2 linked regions of the Tamandua tetradactyla genome follow. The main gene of each other region encodes a partner of the protein of the gene in region 2 in a complex. Links are inferred from orthologs where the notes say so. Each region holds a gene or a part of one and is shown on either strand. Other genes may lie near its edges.

Region 1 (10,837 bases), on a different chromosome or scaffold from region 2:
TGCCACAATCTAGAGAGAATGCAGTCTTCAACACGAAAAACTGCCACTTGAATTTTTTCCTCCAAAACATTCTAAACAGAAGAGCTGCAGATTCTCCAGAGAAGCCATGTTCAAAGGTTTTGAACAGTAGTGCTTTTTGGAATTTCTTATTTAAAATCAGTGCAATTCATCTGAAATATTTTTCAAATACCATTATTTTCCAACTTGCAAAAGTGCTCAAAAAAACTGCTCAAAGAAAATAAATCTCTCCATCTGAAAAGTCTATTTCAAGAAATTAGTCATCACTAAAACAGAAAGGAGGAGAAAAACGATAATTGTTACAAGTTGGAAAAATCTCTAAAACCTATCTAGGTTCTTCATTTTACAGTTAAGAAAACAGAGTCCAGGTAGAGGTTAAGAAATTTGCCTCAGATCACTAAGCTACTAATAGCAACACTAGAAACAGAAGGAGGTATTTTAATTGCTCACAGCAGTACACCAAATCACGCGAGTTACATATGTTCTCATCACTTGACGTTTAAGTTTTAAAAAACAACTGTCACTGAGGAAATTAATTCCTGAGGAAGGGCTCCTACAACATGCGTTCTGAAATTTCAAACTTGTTAAAATAAACAAATTCCAATTTCAACAGAAAAAGGTAGTACTAACCAAGAGCTTTTCTCAGCAAGTTTCAAGCAGGGAGTGTATACCTCTAAACTGTCACTATGAAATTTCAGAGTCTGTCGTTTCAAAATTCGTCCCTCAACTACAGTTTACATGTGTTTGTTCAACCATAAAACAGAAAATTCTGGAAGTTCCTCTTTAACGGAAAGCATCCACAATCTGTCAATGAAATGAGTAGGTCATTACTTATATTAAAACATTATGGAAAGAAAAAACAAAAGAAAAAATATTATGCGTTTCTGGCTTAAAATAAGAAGTCACCAACATTTTATCAGGTACTATGTGAATGAATAGACTTAATAAAGTGTAGGTAGTGGTAGGCTTTGGGTCTGAAGGAAGGTGTCCATCTAAGAGTAACACTAACAGAAGACCTAAGCTGACCTAAGCTTAAAAGCAAAAAAAAAAAAAAAAAAAACAGAAAAATGATCAAGTTCCTTCAACAGAAAGCTTTTTCCTTTTCAAGCTTTCATCTCCTGAGAGTACTGGCACTCTTGAGATTGCATTAAGAAGACAGATTTTCACTGTAATAGTCCTAATAAATCAATTACATACACCTTAGCTTTGGATTATCCAAGGGCAAAACAGAGGGCACAATGAGGGCAACAATTTACTCTGGATCATTTCAAGTGTTGTAGTTTAACCACTCATTACTTTGGATTATGATTGTTCCCTTTGTGCAACTGACTAATTCCCAAAGTACTGCGAGAATGCAGTACTTGCTTTTGAAAGACAAATGGCAAAAAAAAAAAAAAAAAAAAAAAAAAAAAAAAAAACTCCAACATAATTTTGACTACGAACTGATGCAGCTGTTTGACCAGCAACAAGCAGAATGCCCTGTTTTCTTAAACATTACTGATAAAAAATATATTGAGGCTACTAAGGACATACATACCGCTCCTTAACTATGACCTCCCGGTGTCACTCTAAAAGAACACAAAATAATCTGTTAAAAGGTTAAACACCTGTATTTAAATATATATATACACATATAACCAACTTAGCAAGGCAGGTGGCAAATGTGCATGACCACCACAAAACACAATCAGCACCAACCCTCACTAACACACACGCACAAACACATTCGAAGTTGTGTGAAGCACAAAAATCCTTACCCCATTTTGCCAAATGAAAACTTGCTCTGAAGTTTCTGCTCTTGGCTACGGAATAACTTCCAAAGGAATTTCTCGGCCGGCTATTTCGCAGCTGTTTTGCACCCCCGAGATCCTTTTTCCGGGGTCTTTCGTGAGGCTGACGACTCAATCCGTCCCCTTAGATAAGATGCTCTCTCTCTCGTAAATACCAAAACGTTCAAACACACTGAGGTGGCATTTGCTTATGCGAGTTAAAAGGCTTCGCGGAGGAAAGAGCGGGCAACTCTATTCCACAGAACGAGCTTATACGTAGGCAAACGCGGAATCCAGCTTCACCGAGTCCAGTTAAACCTGAGTTCGCTGGTCATTTCGCTCGTGCCCTCCTCGACACTCAGGGAGAGCCAGGTAACCCGGCCTCTTCGGTGCTACTGAGGCCGCCGGGTCCAATTTCTCCACACCAGGTCCCTGGGGGTGGAGCGTGAAACCCAACGCGACGTGCACTTTAAAGATCCCTACGGGAAAAATAAAAATTCTAAAAGCGCAATGCCATCGCCTCTCTGCGCTGGCATTAGAAAGAAAAAAAAACACATACAAAAATCTCTTCCCCGAAGTGCAAAAGCCGGCAGCTCGCGACGTGCACAACACTCCACATGGGAATCTGTCCTTCTAAAATTTTTCCCTTCCTAAGACTAGGAGCAGAAAGGAGGCGGAGAGGAGGAAGAAAAGACCGGGCAGGATCGATTCACTCTCCCGAGGAGAATAAACGGAGCCATTTCCAGGCTGGCAGCAGGCTGGGGGAGAGCGCACGCCGGGGAGCAGCGGGAGGGGGTGACCCCACCTCCCTCAGCCCCTTCCCGCCCCCCGCCGCCAAGCACAATGGAGCCCGGCTCGAGCCTGGCCCTTCATTCGCGGCTGCCCCCTCTTCCCTGCTCTCTTCGGCTCCCAGCGCGTCTGCGGCTCGCGTCGACAGAGAATGAATGAATCGGAAAGCCGAGCCCCACGCTTCCTCCGGCCCCCGGCCCCCGGCTCCGGGAGAACCGAGCGCGATGGCGGAAGGGCTGAGGGGAGGCGGGCGCCCGCCTGAGCTGTGGCGGGCAGCTAAGCTCGCGTCGAAGAGAGGGACTGAAGCTCGCAGCCTCCGGAGAGCTGCCGCTCGGGCGCCCGCACCTCACAGCCTCGCCGCTCGGGCTCCGTGCCGCCGCCGCGCGCCGCCTCACGTTCCCCGGGCCCCGCCGCCGCCTCCTCACGCTTCCATCAGCGCCCGTCTCCGCCGGCCTCCAGCTCCCGCTCCGCAGAGCAGCGCCCGTCCGGGCGGCCCCAGACCCGCCGCTGCCTCCGCCTCCTCGGCCGGCTCTTTGGGCGAAGAGCGCCGCTTCCCAGGTCTGCGCCGCCGGCGTGAGGCGGGCGCGGCGGCGAGGCAGGCTGCTGGGGGCGGAGAAGGGGCGGGGAGAGAGCGGACGAGAGCGGGCCCTCCCCCTGCGCTCGGGACGAGCCGGGAGACGGCCGCCGAGGAACTGCGGCGGGACGCTAACCCGTCGCGAGGGCCCGCTGGGGCCCAGCGGAGAGCGGGAGCCTGGTGGCCAGGGGCCGAGGCGGCCTTTATGGGAAGCTAGACAGGCCGGTTGGCAATTCCGTCCGTCAGTCTGTCCTTCCTGCCTTCCTTTCCCCTTCCCTAGTGGCCGGCGGCGGGCAGGCCACGCGCTCTGCTCCTCGGCTCGCTCCTGGCCCCACTACCGGCTGCCACGGGCACCTCCGCTGCCCACACCAGGTGCTCGCGCTGTGTCTCCATCCTCCCGCAGGAGGCCCTTTAAATAGCAACGTCAGCGCGCTTCGCTCCGCACGCGCGTCACCCGCCGCTCTCGTCACCGGGGTGCGGGGGATGATGTCACGCGGCCGGAAGTACTGCTAAATTAGGGAAGGAGCAGGGGAGGAGGACTTGGTGAACTCCTCTGTGCCCACCTGCTCTGGCTGCTCCATAAAGGCCAGAGCACCGGAGACAACTTGAGAGAAGCTCGGAGAAGGAAGCGGCGGGAGGAGGAGATTTTCTTGCAATGAATGTGCCAAACCCAAGTGAATCATTCATAGCAACAGTGCTGAAGTGTCAAGTGGGTGATATCCTATTTTACACTCCCACCACCCTGTTGCCGCAGCATCCCCCGGCTTCACACGTCCCAACCCGTAGGGAAATGTGGGAGGGAGAGCCTGATCACTAGTGGTGTATACACTTCCATGATTTGGGTAAATCACCTTAATATTTAAAGATTTATTAAATGCACATCGGGACATAGTAGACTCTACTCCCTCCCCACTTAGTGGTTACCTAAACACGAAAGAATCAAGAGCTGGACCATAAACAATTCTTAAAATGTTATAAATGATAGTAATTCATCATTATAGTAATTCATCAGTAAGAGAGCTCATTCACATAATTTTCATCATATACATAGCAAGTTCCAGTGTACCCTCTAGGTTCCACTTTACCAAGAGCATATTTCTGGTTTTGGGAAGTTATAAGAAAGACAACCAAATCCTTTTTTAATAAGAGCACATTGATTATTTTGTTATCTATAGTTTTGACCATATAATATATAATTACAACATCTCTAAAATATGTTGTTTCACATTCCTATATGACAAAGGTGAGTAACCATCTACTCACAAGCTGTATGTGTGTTTGGTCCATAACTTATCAAAATATTTATTGTGGTTATATATATATGTGTATGCATATGAATATATATATAACATAAAATTTATTATTTTAAGTGTACGGTTTAGTGACATTAACTCCACTCACAGTGTTGTGCAGCCATCACCACTATCCATTGCCACAACTTTTTCATCACCCCAAACAAAATCTCTGTACCCATTAAGAAATAACACCCCATATCTCCCTCCCCTGCCACTCTTCTCCCCCACCTCTAATCTGCTTCTGCAACTTTCCTTATTCAGATATTTAGTATAAGTGGAATCATACAATATTTACCTTTGTGTCTGTCTGCTCACTTAGCTTAATGTTTTCTAGGTTCTTCCATGTAGCATATATCAGTGCTTCATTCCTTTTATGACTGAATAATATTCCATAGTATGTGACCACATGTTGTTTATCCATTCATCTGATGATGGAAATGTGCATTGTTTCCCATTTTTGGCTATTTTGAATAATATTGCTATGAAGGTTGGCATACAAGGATCTATTTGAGTCCCTGTCTTCACCCCTTTTGGGTATATACCTGAAAGCGGAACTACCAAGTAATATGGTAATTCTAGGTTTAACTTTTTGAGGAACCATCAAATTGTTTTCCACAATGGCTGCACTGTTTTACATTCCCGCTAGCAATACACATTTGAAAAAAATAGTAGTCATCCTAGTGAGTGTGGGGAGTATCTCATTATGGTTTTTTTGTTTGTTTGTATTTTGGCTGTCAAATTATCTCTTATTAAAATATTTTTCATTGTAGTTCTTTCTGGCTCCACATTCCACTGCACCACTGTTGATGTCATCTATGATGTCATGAGATAGTGGACATGGACACTGCAGCCCACAGAATGGACAGTTCCCAGAATCTCTTTAATGGTCCAGAGAGTTCTCTGGCTAAAGATTGGTGCTGCATCTGTTGGGCAAGGCTTACAATCTTATTAGAAGTGGTATTTCCACTGTGCTTAGAGTTTTTTGCTTCTTTCTAATACTGAATGGTTCCTTGAGGTTTGATGATCAGGGCAGAAGCAGAAGATACCAGCTCAATCTGAGCCATTCTTTTCCAAGTGGTCAGTTTCACTGTACTTCTTAGAACTATCACCAACCTTTTTTGAAGACAGAAACAAAGGGTTGATCTTTGGGGCCAGAGCAGACATGGCGCTGACCTCCCTACCAATGCGCCTGAAGTCAACAACTTTGATCTCATTGTGGCTTGAACTTGGGTGGCAAAATGGAGGTAGCCTGTTAGATGAACCTGGATGCCAACCAAAGTTGCACCTTGGCCTCCTCCAAGTTAGAGGCTGAAAGCCTCATTGTGGTTTTTATTTGCTTTCCTTAGTGACTAATGATGAGTATCTTCACAGCCATTTGTATGTCTTCTTTGGAGAAATGTCTATTCAGGTCCTTTGCCCATTTTTAAAATTGGGTTGTTTGTGTTTCTGTTGTTGAGTTGTAGGAGTATTTTATGTATTCTGGATATAAAACCCTTGTCAGATATATGATTTGCAACTATTTTCTCCCATTATCTTCTCATTTTCTTGCTAATGTCTTTTGATGCACAAAAGTTTTCGATTTTGATGAAGTCCAATTTATCTGTTTGTTCTTTATTGCTTGTGTTTTTGGTGTCATATCTAAGAATCTGTTGCCAAATCCAAGGTCATTGAGAATTCCTTCTGTGTTTTCTTCTAAAAATTTTATGGTTTTAGCACTTCTATTTGGGTTGTTATTCCATTTTGAGTTAATTTTTTTATATGGTGTGAGGTAGGGGTCCAGTTTCATTCTTTTGCATGCAGAAATCCAGTTTCACAAGCACCATTTTTAAGAGTCCATTCTTTCCCTATTGAGAAGACTTCGCACCCTTGTTAAGAAATCAACTGGTCAAAACCCCAACCAACATCATTCCTTTTAGCCCTAAAAATCAGCCAGGGCTCTACTTGAGATCCTACAAAAGTTGTATTTGCTAAGTTTACTTTTCAGAAATCTAAAACCTCCAGATGGTTCCTAGGCCAGATAACTCCTGAAAGCCAGAGGTACCATTCTCTCCAAGAACATCAACCAGTTCCGTCTCACTATCTCATGTTGTTGACACCCCTTTTCAACATGAAAAAAGTTAGAATGGGCATAACCCAAATATTCCTAAAGATTAGGAGAAGCATCAAAGGAGAAGGAGGAGATATAACAGAGAAGTTAAGATTTAACAAATAATTATGACTACTGAATCATTATATTGCTATTTCTTTTTAGTCTCCAGTGTCATGGAGCAGCCAAAAGGAAAAACCTGAAATTGTGGAACTGCAGCCCATATCAAACTTTGAAATCTGTTCTATAACTTCTTATTAAAATGTACTTTGAAATGTGTTGCTTTTTTGTATTTTTGTTATATTTCACAATAAAAAAAATGCTTTTAAAAAGTGAGGCAGCATATCTAACAAATTATTTAACTGAAAAAAAAAAAAAAGTCAGTTGGCCATAGATGGAATCCCAGTTCTGTTCCATTGTTCTCTATGTCAATCCTCATATCAGTACCACACTGTTTTGAATGAATGTTTTTTAAACTGTAAATAACTATAGTGTTTAAATACCTCCATTATTTTAACACAGCTTCTTATTAGGAAGATTTTTTTTTAATGTTGAAATTTTCATTCAAGTTAACTCGATAATCATGGCCAAGAAATAGAGTAACTACATACTGCTAATAGCTATTACATATAAAGTTAGTCTATAATTCAGCAACCATGTTTTCCAAACCAAATCAGGACACATGATTTAAAATAATAAAAATATTTGAAATCTGAAGTGACCCGGAACATCTAGGACATAAGATTACCAACCTATAAAGTATTATTAGGGTAGTTACAAATCAATATCAATGTAGTTTAAACAAAAGAAGCTAAAACTTTATAGAATTCATACCATGTATGACTTTTTAAAATGTTTTAATATTTAACTATTCATATGATTCCTAATTACTGAACATTAGTTTGCAGCTTTCTGCATTTAAATTTTCTTCCTCAACTTAAGAACCCAAGATTAAAGGATACTGGCAAAAAAAGAAAAAAAAATCTAGGACCAATTTACAACTAAATCAGGCTTTCTGATCATCTTCACATAATAAAATCATGATCCTGCATTGATTTCAGAATTTGCTTCGAGTTTGAAATGTTTAAGCTAGTGAGTAAAAATGTTAAAAGGTTATAACTAAAGGTTAATCAAAATCAAATCCCTTCTTGCCAATTTGTCTAATATATATATTATTATCATATTAATAGAAACTTGTAATAACATATTTCAGGCAAATGGAGCTTCCTACTTCTGTATAAAATATTAAAACAATAAAACTGTCATTTTTCAAATAATGTCATCTCTGGACCCTTCCAAATTAAAAAACAAATTAACTAAAATTTCTCTACAAACTGTTTTCTATCTGAACTCAATTGTTTTCCGGCTCTTTTCTTCCATGTTAATAAAAGTTCTCACATTACCGTTTTTCAAACACTTCATTCTGCCCTTTCATCACAGCTTCCTGTGTTTTACAATCTTTTCTTTCCCTCATCTTTACCTAGCTGTCAAAACAGAATGTCGGCTGCCTCCCTGCCTTTAGAACGCTGACCCTTCATTAGAGTTTCCACTCTTTCAAGCTGCATGGTTCCTTCTCAGCTGCTCTTTTGTCAATTGAAAATTGACAGTAACTTTTTCTACATAAATCTAATGATGCTCTGTGATATAATTACCCAAAGTATATGTGATTATTTAACTTTGGCCTTTGCTCAATTCTAGAAAATTCTACCTATAATTGGTTAATTTTTATTTCTAGCTTGTGCGGGATGAATATATCAGGGAATGCTTATATCCACGTACCCAAAGGAATAAATGAAACTTTTTATGTAATATGGAATGTCTTCTCAGAAAGAAAATAAATAATCCTAGGGTAAGTTCTTCTTCTCCCCCCTTGAAATGATTTCCAATACAATTTTGACAGGAATCAGAGAACCATTGTATAGTTTTCCATCTAAAAATACATATCTTTTCTCCTAAAATAGGCTGATGTAACCCAAATTCCAATCAGGAATTTCCAACCCTAATTTCTTTGTGTGTTTTTAAAGTAGTGAACTTCCTAGAAAGTAATTTATTTTCTTTTACCGGAAGAGGCAAAAAGTACATTAGTAGAGTTTCGAATTCTTAACAGTTCCTGTTTCCCACTTATGCTCTGGAAATTTGTGGAGAGGTTTATGAATACCCTCTGATTTTAGAATCTGTGGGCGAAGGCATCTGTTTTAGTTACAGAGTTTACTTCCATCCCCTTAATAGGAAATGGCAGTCTTCAATGGGGTGTTCATAGATTGGTCAGGAGATAGATATTTTTCAATGAAAAGAGATCTAGGTCAGAAAAACTTCGCAAGAGAGTAAAAGCCAAATTTTATTTTGAATTATCTAACTGATAATATCAACCCCCTTTCAAGCTCCCTAAATCTTTTTAATTGGCAAAATACTACTATCACTTCAAATGTAGTAATAGGTAAAAAGATATCTCTCTATAATAAAAAATGCTCAAGATTGCTAGTTTCTATCATATAGTTATAAAGAAACTAAATAACCAACTAAAAGCAATAAGAATGAAAGCATTATATAAAAATTTTCCAGTCATCCCCTCTCCCCCACAATATAACAGATACTGGGTATCATTGAGTTGTGTTGCTTGTTTAAACAGAAGCAGGTTAATTAATAGCCTCAAGAGTGGGAATATGTTTGGCCTCACTGAGACAATTGCTTGAGGACAATTTTTACTCCTCTGCGTGCACTATTTTCTGAGTGGTTGGAGGTGCAAGGGAGAGGGAAGTTAGAGAATTATCACAGGAAAGATATGACATAGAGCGCATGGGAAATGATTCCAAACAGTTACCTTCTACTCTGATAATGACTGCAAACTCGTTGTTTGCAGAATATGATGAAAGGGATACAAGTATGACACTGGACTTGTAAAAGAACATACCAGAAAAATTTTAGTTAGGTGCCATGAGGAGATCATTGTACAACTAAAAATGCAAAATTTCAAGGCATTCAGAAGAGACAGGGATATGGTGCCTTGAAAAAGATGCATATCTGCAGAGAGCTACCAGTCCAAGAATGTGGAGTAAAGCTTGTGCTGTACCTATGCAGTTACTTAGAATGGAATGCTGTGAAGCTGATTGCCATGGTAACCAGTAATCTTTTTCCTGAATGGAGGAACAGGACAACCGTAAGAAAAATGTTTCAAATGAGCTACCTTATTTTATGATTCTTTTGGTGCCAGCTAGGTGAAAAACAACACCAAGGCATTTAGGGCAGCCACGCTTATGAAGCAAAGTTGACTTCTCTTTAAAGAGAGAAGATTCGAAGCAGAAATGTGGGGCTATTTCAAAGGCAGAGATCCGTTTAAGATGGTAATTGTAAACTCAGTAGCTGAACATAATTGGTAACGACTGATATGGCTAAAACAGGTAGATGCAATACCTAGAATACATTAAAGTGTCTTCCAAGTATAAGGTATTAAAGGTTCTTCCAAGTAAAAGTGGTCAGAAAGAAAACATTTGGGGTTTTTAGCCAAACGATTGCAAGAGTTATTCATGAGGCTTTTCATTTCTTTCAGTCTGGTTCTAAATAGTAATTTCTATAAAAATAAAAATGGAAATGGTAAATATATCTTCAGTCAATATCTATTCTGTTATTTTAATAATGAGTTATGTTTTATCTGTGTGTGTATGTGGACAAGCACACGTTTGGGTTGTCTGCTAAAATTCTTTACATATAGAATAAAATCCAAACTCCAAAAAGAAAAGAAAATTTTTAAAAATTAAAAAAAAATAAAATCCAAACTCCATGGCGTGGCCTAAGAGGCACTGCATGATCTGGCCCCTGCCTACCTCTCTTACCTCACCTGCCATTTTCCCCTACAGTTGCTGGTATACAAGTCGGTGTTTCATCAACAGTAATAGAAACCCCAGCTAATGGTGACTTAAGTTAAGGGAGAGATTGTTTTTTGTTTATTTCCTTAAGAAGAAGTCTGAAGCGTTGGGCGGGCCGCGGTGGCTCAGCGGGCAAAGTGCTTGCCTGCCATGCCGGAGGACCTCGGTTCGATTCCCGGCCCCAGCCCATGTAAAAAACAAACAAACAAACAAAATACAATAAAACAAGAAAATGTTTAAAGATGTTTCCCGTTCTTCCTTCCTTCCTTCCTTCTCTCTGTCTTTCCTTCCCTTCCTCCCTCTCAAAAAAAAAAAAAAAAAAAAAAAAGAAGAAGTCTGAGGGTGGTTGATCATACGGTTGGTTTGCAAGATCCAGGGGGCCATCCCGTTCAGGCTCTCTCCATCCTTTCACTTTGCCATCTTCATGTGTTGCCCTTAAAAGC
Region 2 (11,143 bases):
CAGACTGATTGCTTGTTTCCTAGGGGGGGAAAAGGAACCAAGGGATGTACACTCCCTTTTTCTTGAAACCACAATGACTCCAGTATAAAGGGAGGAAATTTAGACTTATTTCCAAATAGTAGGCCCTAACTATGACATTACTAACTGCAGTATTTTGGGAAAACCACTTGTTCTTTCCATATTTATTTTCTAACCTGTAGTATGGTTACTTTGCCAGACTGTGTTATGGAATAGATGACTAAACTAACAAGTCGATGAAATATCACAACATATGTGCTGGTTTAACTCAGAGAGTAATGTTAGTATGGGGAGTTATCAAAAAGGACAAATATTCCAACTCCCTCCTTCCTCCACATCTTTTTTTTCTACAGCCCTTCCAAGTGGTTGTCCATTCCAGGATTGTGTACAAGGAGTCACAGAGAACTAACTCACTACGTCTTGAGAGAAGCAATTCCTTCCTGATTATATTAATGGGAAAAAAGCATATGTGTGTATATGTACTTATTAATTGAACCATAATTCATTACTCTGGTATTTCAGTCATTAGCTCTCCTTATAATGCTCTTGGCCATACCCATACAGACTGAATCTAGCTCTTCTCCACCTGAAGACTTTTCAAATACCTAAAGTCAGCATTCAGGTGCCTGCCATGTCTTTTCTTCTCTCTGCTAGAATCAGACCCCAAGGACATGATTACAAGTTTCATAACCATTCTGGACATTCACCTTTACAAAGATCGTTGTTGGTTGTATTTATATGTGATGCCCAACATTTAATTTAGCCCAGGTGTGGTCTGAGGAAGCTTGAGGAGAGCAAATTGTAGGAGGCCAGTCCTGGAGGAGATCTCTGAGAACATCCTTTCCTCTTTTTATATGACAAATGAAGGCAGAGATTGAAGTGCTGAATTTCAAGACCCAGCTTTGTAACTAACTATGAGAAAAGTAATGCCAAGTTACTTGACCTTTCTGTCTGTTTCCCCAAGTGTCAAATAAAGGAATTATATTAAATGCTTGCCTAAGACCCTTCCAGTGCTTACATTCTATAAAGCTAACGGTAGTTTGGGTATCTGAATTATTAACATGATCACTGCCCAGATTGCCTCAACTCTCAAAACCTTTCAACCCCAAGGGAAATATAATGAAATCTCTTTAAAAGTGTTCAGTAGAGCCTATGCTGATATTTCTTATCTTTCCAAACTAACTTTTACATTGTTGTCCTGATATAATTGCAAGTCATAGAAAAGGTGTGACGAGTAAACTATGCTCCCACTTTTTAGAAGTTGAACTGACAAAATGTACCATGAATCACATTAAAATCTTTCACCCAAAGCTTGATAGCTCCCACATTTTAAGTAAATCATTTATGGAAAAACATATCATAACTCAAAGCTGGTACCACATTGCAATATGTAGGGTAACCTGAAGTCAAAGTTTTAATGATATTACTTTACCAGTAAAATTTAATGACACATTTCTTTCCCCTTCAGCATCAGTGACATGTTTTTCTTCTAGAACAAATTAGCATTCCCATATCATTAGATGAAAGCAAGAAATTCAAGACACAGTGCAAACAAAAAAGGGAGTGGGGTGTGAACACCAATTTACAATTAATTAAGAAAGGCATTTTGGCACCTCATTTTTAAAAAGAATCAAAACTGTGAAAAATTACAATATTATGAATATTTATACATTCATAAATTATGAGGTAAGTATTATTCTAATATGAATTTACCCATTCAACAAATAGTCTTTGAGCACCTTTTATGCATGAGGCACCCAGATAGGCGCTGGAGATGTAGCGTTTCATCTAAACTCAGCAAAAATTTCGAAGTGTAAAAATTATTTAAATCGCCCCTTGACTGCAATATACATTGTTTTGTGTGTCCAATAATTAGCTCCCATAATGAAATTAAATTAGACCAAGGGCAGTAATTTAAGGACAGAATATACGCAAGTATCTGACTATTTAAAACATTCAAGCTTTAAGAAAACTATCAAATACCCATCCACAAGGGTACAGAAAAAGAATTATAAAGTTTTCCTTCTTGCCCTCAGCATTTATTCTGTTTTGATTCACTCTTAAATCTCAAGAATATTCATGTGTGATAATTAACATTTTGTTTTGATTTTGAAGTTTAAACACAGCAATAGAGTCTCATTTGGTGGGATGAGTTGGAATTTAAAATCACTGGAATGAATATGCTTATGCTGGACTCCATTTTGAAGTAAAAGCATAGATTTGACTGTCAAATTCCATTTCCTTCTAGAAATTTTCCACCATGACTCCCTTAAACACATAGCAGGAGATGATTAATTCCTCCCTCAATGCATTTGTAACTTTTTTCACCTTTAATTATGATTATGTGAGTAATAGCACATGCCTCATGTCCTTTACCAGATTGCGAGTTCCTTGAAGGAAGTTTAAGTATAAAGAATACAGCTGTATTTCATAGGACCTACCAGAGGGCCTTGCATAAACTTATGCTTATTAAGTATATAATGCATAAATATATCCTCAGGATGGGATTCTACTGGACTCTGTTAAATTATAACAGTGCACTGAATTAAAAGCCAATAGCATGAGTTCTACTTTTGGCTTTGAAATTGCAATTTGGATGAATTATTTAAATTCCTAAATTCTTTACATTTAAAAATAGATAAAGTATATGCACTATAACTGGCTTATTGCAACCATCAGGTGAAATAATGGCTTTTTCATAAAAAAAAATCTTAGCATTAGCAAAGAACTCAAAGTGCCCAAGTTCAACCACCTATCCATGCCCAAAATGTTTATAGATAAACATCCCTCTAAGTAAAGAAGCCACTTATACAGGAATATGCTCAAAAATAAAGAAGTCTCCAGCCAATGTAGAGGCCCATTTTATAGTTATAAAGCTCTGAATATAATCAACAAGAGTGAACGTATAAGGAAACTCATGATATCATGTCACTCTATAATGAAAATTTTGCTTTATCTGTTTGCTTGATTGGCTCCCAACCTCTGAAGCAGTCTCACTATGGTCATTTACTAATTTTCTAAAAAAATCAACCTCACATTTTACAAATTGTATTCTTTCAACCATATTGATTTTGTTATGGCAGAATTTTCTTTAATTCTTTCCTCACAATAATTCATGAGAGATAAAAAATGTTTTTAAGATTCTGTATTCTATAATGCTTAGTATATGCAGTTTGTTGTCCTAAAAAGAGTGCTGGGTAGTGAGAAAGACTTACTGTTTGGTTCATCTAACTTCTCTAAGTCAAACGAACCTCTTTTATTAAAATTAGGCAACAAAACCTGTCACTTGCAACCTTGGTAAAGAGCTAACAAACTCTGCAAACAAAAGCATTTTAAAAGCATTGTAAAAATACAAAGGACTGGTATTAATAACGATTATAACACCGTATTCATCTTTTCCCTCTTCAAAATGCATTCAACATAAAGAAGAAATGAATTTAAAAGCAAACTTATGTTTAATTATTAAAGTTATACTTCACAAACATGTTCTACACAACAATAAAATTAATTCATACTTATCCCCATTTGTAAAACAATCAAGCTTTTAAAAATTGAACCTGCATATACTCATTGCAGAATGACTGTAAGAATAGCATCACATTCTTACCAGATGAAATATATACTTTATTCAGCACATTTATTATTCAGAATGAATCTCAGTCTAAGAGCTATACCTGCCTTCCAAATCTTCTGCCAAGGAAGACAATAAAAAAATGTAGTGATTATATATATATTTAATATTTAATATTTAATATTCCAAATTGAAAAATTGTTGTAAGTAAACGGATAATTTTCTGTAACAGGTTACTTGGTCTAGAACTAGCTGCAGTTGGAGTAATTTTAAAGTGGTAAAAACATTAGATGTTTAATGAAGAAGTAGAAAACTGAAAAACCTCTAGTAATAAATAGCAAAAGGCACCATTATAGCAAATGTACAAATAATGTAACATGCATTCCAAAAAGTTTCTCCATTTTTACTAAATCATGGTCACACTAACCCTCATATTGGCCCCAATCTGTCTTTCTAGACAGCTGGCATCCAGACCCTTCTCAGTAATAGAACTGATAAAATGGGGGCAACTCAAAGAATACAAAATAACAAGGATGTTTTAGTCTTATAAAATATGAAATTTTAACTGGTAATCTTTTGAGTCCATAATTAAGAAAATAAATGCAAAGGAAACTTACCTTCAGTGTGCACAGCTGAAACATAGGTCCAATTGTATCTCTTCACTATGTCCACCATGGCCCGTGCTTGTTGGGCATCTGAAGGCACAACCCTCATGAAGTACTTGAACAATGTCTTATCACTTAGATCCATGCTTGTTGCTGAGTAAGCAATCTGAGGTATGTTGAAAAGTTGGAGCAAATTCTGGACCTGAATGGCCACAGAACTGGAGCCAGGTCCAATGACCCCCACAATGGGCTTCTTGGAACGGAAGGAAGAGGAAGAGCCATCAACACAGCGCACCAAGCCCTCTTCCTCTTCTGAAGAAATGAGGGAGTCTCTTATGAACTCAATGCTCTGCTCTAGGGCTACAGCTGAATGCCAGCAGGAATCCCTTATCTCACAGCCCAACGTGATGTTGGGCAAGAGCGTGGGGTCTGAGTTGATCCTCTCCAGGGTATGCAGCATGGCCTCCACTCTCTGAATGCCATACTGTTCACGGACTGCCCCACACTTCCTCTCATGAACTTTGTCCACAGTGGGCTGATGGTGGACAGAAAAGAGAGCTCCAATAATGATGTCTCCTGGCATGTGGGCCACCACCCTCCTTTCACTGGACTGTGCACTCCCACGGACATCTTCTTTCAAAAGCAGGACTGTCAGAATCAACAGAAGGACCATTTTAGGAAAGGGGTTCAAGCTAATAAAGACAGCATGGTGAGCAAAATTAGGAGAGTTCTGATGGATAAAATCAAACAATGTCTTATGTTGAGTGGCAAGCCAGGGAATTAGCCAGAAATTTAGATGTGCTCTCTAAAGGACTACAATGTCCCCAAGTACAATTTAGTTAGATGCATCCATGTGATCATGATCTTCAAAACCTGAAAGAGAAAAATAGCATAGGTTTTTAATAACAAAAGTGCAATTAGTTTAGGTAAGCTTTAATTGCATGTGCTAGTGGAGAAAAAGAGGACTTTGATGAAGTAGCTAACCTAAAAGAAAAAAAGCATCAAAAAATCTTTCTGACTCTCCCTTGTCTCCTTTGTGATTTGATGAAGCAGCTAAGGTAGCTTTCTTTTTCCTTTATTAGAGAAGTTGTGAGTTTATAGAACAATCATGCATAAAACATAGGAACTCCATATGCCAATTCACCACCAACACCTTGCATTGCTGTGGAATATTTGTTACAACTGATGATAACACATTTTTACAACTGTATTATTAATTAAAGTCCATAGTTTAAATTAGGGTTCACTGTTTGTATACTGTAGTTTCACAGATTTTTAAAAGAATTCAGTTATCGTATATACATTCTAACATTTCCCCTTCTAATCATGCGCATATATATTTTTTAGTGCTGTTATGGCATGGCTTCTTGACCCTGCCTGGCTTGGATTAATATTTTTATTTGTTCATACAGAGTACCCAGAACCAAAACTTCTGTGTAGCAGGTAAAACTTGAGTATTAGGCAGAAGTGAGAGTATTCTTGAAGCAAAGTTATGTCATGATCAGAAAATTTTAGGGAATATATGTTCCAAAACATTAAACCTTGGAGGGCTCTGGGTTATGATAGTTTTGGTTTGCTTTAAATTTCAATATAGGTTTTATTTCAAAGTTCTCAGTATTGAGAAAATATTACTTATGCAATTAAAAACTAAAGTTACCAATTTTAAAAGCTTAAGTACTCCCTCCATGAACACAATGTAAAGCAGATTGAAAAATGTATCCAGGAAGGAATAAGCATTTTTGTATTTTTTATATAAAAGAAAGTGAGTGCAGTTGGATATTTCCAAATTAAATAAACTGTAGGGAAGAAGGAGGAGGTTTGAGATATTGCAAAGAAAAATGCTCTCCTAATAGGCCACAAAGCATAATGAAATGAGCATGAATTTTTGTAGAAAAGAACACTCAGGCTCAAGTTCTGGTATTGAAGAGATATTGGTAAATTGTTTAACCTCTCAGTATCTGAGTTTCCTCATTTCAAAGTGGGAATAACATGTGCTAGGTCTCCCTTACGGGAATCAATATAAGATATCAATTATGTAAATGCTTTGTAAATTAAATAGTGATATATGTATTCAAGACATGATCTTTTTTGTTATTAAATTTTCAAGGGCATTTTGTGGCTTGGTGGTGAGGACACAAAATTCTCTGGCAATCCACTAGGTCCTCCAGAGAGTCTTCAAAATAATTACAAAGTTTTGTAATAAAATTTATAGTAATCAGTTCTCTAGCCCTGATTCAGAAAAAAATTCCACATTGAGAAGGCTCAAAAAGCTGGAAGGATGTAGTTTGAAGCTATCTCTTCAAGTAGAAACTTGGTACAGCTAGCAATACAGTCACCTGTTTCTGTTTAAATCCTGGGGGAAAAAAGGTGATTTTGTCCCAAATCGGTTATAGAAAATTCTAGCATAATGATTTTGGTTTTAAAAGATTGTATAATATACTTTTTTTTCGGATGTTATTATTTCCACCAGCAGAGACTCAAATTGTTTTCAAGTGACTAATTCCCAATACACCATCTCTCAAAAAACAGGTGATATTTCTTCAGGAACTTATGTAAAAATTATGACGCCTCTTAAAAAATATTAATGTTTTTCAAAACTCATCAGGTTTTAGGTCTGCAAAAATTCAGTTCAGATACAAAATGAGTATAGCCTGAATCCCATTTCTAATCACTCCTAACCCCACTTTCACTCTTTCTTCCTACTGTTTCCTATGGCAACAGAGAAGACTATTCCTGTATAGTACCAAACACTAAAATTTATAAAGCTCATTCATTCTAGTGTTTTGCCTTAAGAAAGGAAGGAAGTTCTGATACATGCAACGACATAGATGAACCTTGAGGATATAATGTGGAGTGAAGTAGGCCAGACACAAAAGGACAACTACTGTATGAGATCACTGATATGAAATAATTAGAGTACAAATTAGCAGGGGCCAGGGTGGGACAGGAAATGGGGACTTAATGCTTAATTGGAGCAGAGCTTCTGTTCGACTTCATGGCTAAGTTTTGGTGGTGATGATAGCACAATATTCAAATGTAATTAGTAGCACTGAATTCTACATTTGAATGTATTTAAAAGGGGAAATTTTAGTTTGTATATATGCTACTAGAATAAAAAATTTACAAAGCAGCCCATAGGATTACACAACATAGACCATGAACTCTCATGTAAACTATGAACTACAGTTAACAGTATAATTATAATAATATTTTTCATCAATTGCTACAAGCATACCACACTAATGCAGAGTATTAATAATAGGAAATTTTGCATGTTGGAAAGAGGGCATCTACAAGAACTCTGTATTTCCTGCATATCTTTTTTTTTTTAACTATAACTCCTCTAAAAAAATAAATTTAAAAAAACCCATTCAAATAACTGGATATTCCCAAATAACTAGAATTTTGATAATTTAAAATATTCCTATATGGCAAAAGGGAAGGGAACAAAGACTGATATTAATGTTCTCATTGGGAAATTTTCTGAATGTTCTCAGGCCTGGCTTTCACTTTCCGTAAACCAAAGACTGGTGATCAATGCTTATTCTCATGGTCATGTGAATTTGAAAGGTCTGAAATAAAAGGAATCATAATTCCTCATTAAATTCAGAATATAGTGAGCAAACTCAGTGAAAAACAGAGCTCATTTTTATTATGTAAGAGCACCAAAGTGATATGAGATGTACAATATTGAGACACAGTATGCACATTAAAATAAGCAGAGATTGTCTTACTATAATAGACTAAAAGTTAATTAATTAATTCATATGCAAATATCTATTTGAGTGAGAGAGACTAATGTAACAAAGAAGCACAATAATATTGTTATTTGATAACAATTGTTAATTCTGGTCATTATCTGTCACTGAACACCCATTTTACACCAGGCATTTATTCATTTTCTCAATGGATGTTTATGGCATACCTATGCTATAACAAACTTCTTGTCAAATTGAGGATTCAACTGCGAACAGGGTGTGTGTGCTCCCTATCCTTGCAGGTCTTACAGATTAGGAGGGGGAAGAGAAATAATAATAAAATAAGCAAATGATTACACTCCTTGAACTGGAATGAATTAACTGAAAAAGAATAGTATTATGATACCAACTTAGAAAGAATGGATAAAATAAAGCTACTCTAAAAGGTGATGTTAGTGAGAATTGATGAATGCAAAGAACAATGAAAAGAAGACTGAAAATAATGGGAAGTATGAAAAGAAGCCAGTCACCTGAAAAATGAGGCTATTAGAGCACAATAACAAAAGGAATGGTGGTCCAAGATGAGATTGGAGAGGTAAGAAAGGGCCAAGCTATATAGAATCTTGTAGGCTCAAAAAGAATTTAGATGTTAAAGTGCAAATGAAATCCATTGAGGACAGGTAAGGAAATGGTTGACACAATTGAATATAGAATTAGAAAAGATAATTCTGACTGCTCTTTATTCTGGATAAATGGATTAAAGAAATCTGATTGGGAGACTATTGTAATAATCTAGGTTAGTAATGATACTGGCTTGGCTGTGATGGAAGTGATGGATATGGAGAGAAATGGACACAATCATATCTAATTTGCCAGTAGAATCAACTGGCCTTGCTGACAACTTGAATATGGATCATAAAGTAAAGAGGAATCAGGATCTACTCCCAGGTTTTTAATCTGAGTAATTAGTGCATTTTGCTACCATTAACATAGGTACAGAAATAGATGGGATAAAAGAAAAATGGATGAGTTTCTTTTAAACATGTTAAATGTCAGATGCTTTTGAGGCACCCAGGTACAGGTAACAAGCAGGAACACAAGTACATAAGGCCGGAGATTAGAAGAGAATTTTGGTTTAGAGAGGTAAACAGAGAGTCAACAATATGTAAAATCTTTGGATGAATGCAATCACCTGGGGAGCAAGTATACCTTGAAAAAATGTGGAGCTGAGCAGTAAGCCCCACTGAGTGATCAAGTTGTAGGTAAGGCAGCTAGGGGCTGAGGCGACCCAGAAATTCAGGACAAAAAGCAAGAGCAAAATGTGAGGGAAGCCAAAAGAGAATGTTCTGGACACTTTATATTCACATACATACACAGAGATTTCACTTTGCAGAGAATACATCAAGTTACCCTGGAGGGCATTATAGTCTGTTTTTTGTACCCTGAAAATGTGTGATTCAATTGCCGTGTCTGTATAATTCTTTGTGTGTTTGCATATAAGTGTGTGATCTGTGTGTCGATAATCCTTATAACAATCCTGACAGGTAGGTATTTTATTACCTCTGTTTTACAGATGGTATAACAGGTTTTGATAAACTAGCCGACCACTTAGAAAATGATGAGCTATATTTCAGGTTGATGTCTATTGATTCCATTACATGCCCCCTCATCACTCATTCCTGCAGATGTGGTATGCCCAAAGTCCATAAAAATGGAAGGGGCTGTGAAACATCAGAATGGACTCTTACAAGAGTTTGCCTTGCAAACTAGGGGGTGAAGAGCATTCCAGGAAAAGAAAAGATAATTCAGCATGCAAAAAATGCAAGTGTGTATTATTATCCAGTACAAATATATTTACATTTCTCTGTTATCCACTATAAAAGTTGATTGCACAATGGCTATCATGAGCTACAGTGCTTAGATGCCTGAAAAGGACCCTTTAAATCATGACATAGAAATGTGCCATAATTGTGCTTCAATTTAGTTTTTCATATGATTAAACAAAAACCAACTCATGTACTCCCAAAATATGACAAATTAACAGAACATAAATTCCAACTAGATCATAAAGGGGTATATAAGCTCTATCAACATCATCCATCTGTTTAATAAATGCTTATCAAATGAAGCATTCTACACCAAGCACTCTACAAGCCTAAAAATTCAGTCATGGACAAAATAGACATAAAACCATGCACTTATGGAATATATAATCAAAGAGGGGCTAGTCAGACAACAGACAGAATAAGTAGGTAAAGTATTGTATGCTAGACAATGATAAGGGCTAAAGAAAAATATAAGGCAGGGAGGTTGAAAGAAAGTGTCAGAGATATGACAACTTTTGAACAACGTGGTCAAAGAAGGATAAACAGGAAATATAACAATTGAGTAAATACCTGAAGAAAGTAAGGGAACGAGTCAAGAAAATATCTACAAAAAGAACACTCTAGGTAAAGGTAAAAGCAAATATAAAGTCTCCAAGGCAGAAGAGTTGAGGCCTGGAGCAAGGTTGTATTCACTCTGTTTGAACTTTGAAAAGACTTTGGCTTTAACATTGCATGAGATACTTAACCCTGAATGGTTTTCAAAAGAGTAGGGACAAAATCTGACCCACATATTAAGAAAAGGACACAAAGATAGAACCATTGAGAACAGTTAGGGATGAACTGCCCTAATTCTGGTGGGAGATGGCAGTATAGGTACTAGGAAGTGGTAGGGAATCTGTATATATTTCCGAAGTACAGTGAAAGTGTTCTCCCTTAGATCTGTCATGAGTTGTGAGGGAAAGAGAGGAGTTAATGAAAATACTCATTATGTTCAAGTTTTCAACCTATCAAATAAAGGGACAGTGGCACATTGACTGAGGTGGAGAAGATTATAGAGGAGCAGGTTTGGATGGGAATAACAGCAATTCAGTTCAGATATACAAAGTTTGTCATGCTTATTAGACATTCAAGAAAAGATGTTGAATAAGCAGTTGGACATAAGAGGCTGAATTTCTGGAAAGGACTGGATAGGAAATACAAACATGGTAGATATCAGTATATCCCATCCTTTTTTGTAAACCATGAGGCTGGATGAAATCACCTAGGTAATGGAAAAGAATAGAGACTAGCTCCCAAGACAGAGCCCCAGTGAATTCCAGTGCTTAAATTCCTAGGGACAAGGGGAAACCAGCAAAAGAGACCATGAAATTTTGGAAACAGAAACTTTCCCTCGGAAAGACTGGGTATGAAATGTGAAGTGCTCCC

What was found. Proteins that work in one complex are often made in the same cells at the same time.
Region 1: the proteins of GRM5 (region 2) and HOMER1 are in contact, whole or in part, in a crystal structure (PDB 1DDV), measured with the Rattus norvegicus proteins. The link is inferred for Tamandua tetradactyla from reciprocal best matches to the Homo sapiens genes GRM5 and HOMER1. Residues at the interface, in XP_006229721.1 of Rattus norvegicus: Thr1155, Pro1156, Pro1157, Phe1160; in NP_113895.1 of Rattus norvegicus: His12, Phe14, Trp24, Thr70, Ser71, Gln72, Lys73, Phe74, Gly89, Phe90.

What each region holds. Positions count from the first base shown.
Region 1 is NC_135347.1:52,071,400-52,082,236, reverse strand, and holds the start of HOMER1 (homer protein homolog 1), read right to left. Parts: upstream 4,758-10,837; 5' UTR 4,741-4,757; intron 2,935-4,740; exon of another isoform or gene 2,267-2,934; 5' UTR 1,781-2,266; coding exon 1,776-1,780; intron 1-1,775. UniProt on the Homo sapiens protein: Postsynaptic density scaffolding protein. Binds and cross-links cytoplasmic regions of GRM1, GRM5, ITPR1, DNM3, RYR1, RYR2, SHANK1 and SHANK3.
Region 2 is NC_135334.1:55,145,260-55,156,402, reverse strand, and holds the start of GRM5 (metabotropic glutamate receptor 5), read right to left. Parts: upstream 4,868-11,143; coding exon 4,207-4,867; intron 1-4,206. UniProt on the Homo sapiens protein: G-protein coupled receptor for glutamate. Ligand binding causes a conformation change that triggers signaling via guanine nucleotide-binding proteins (G proteins) and modulates the activity of down-stream effectors.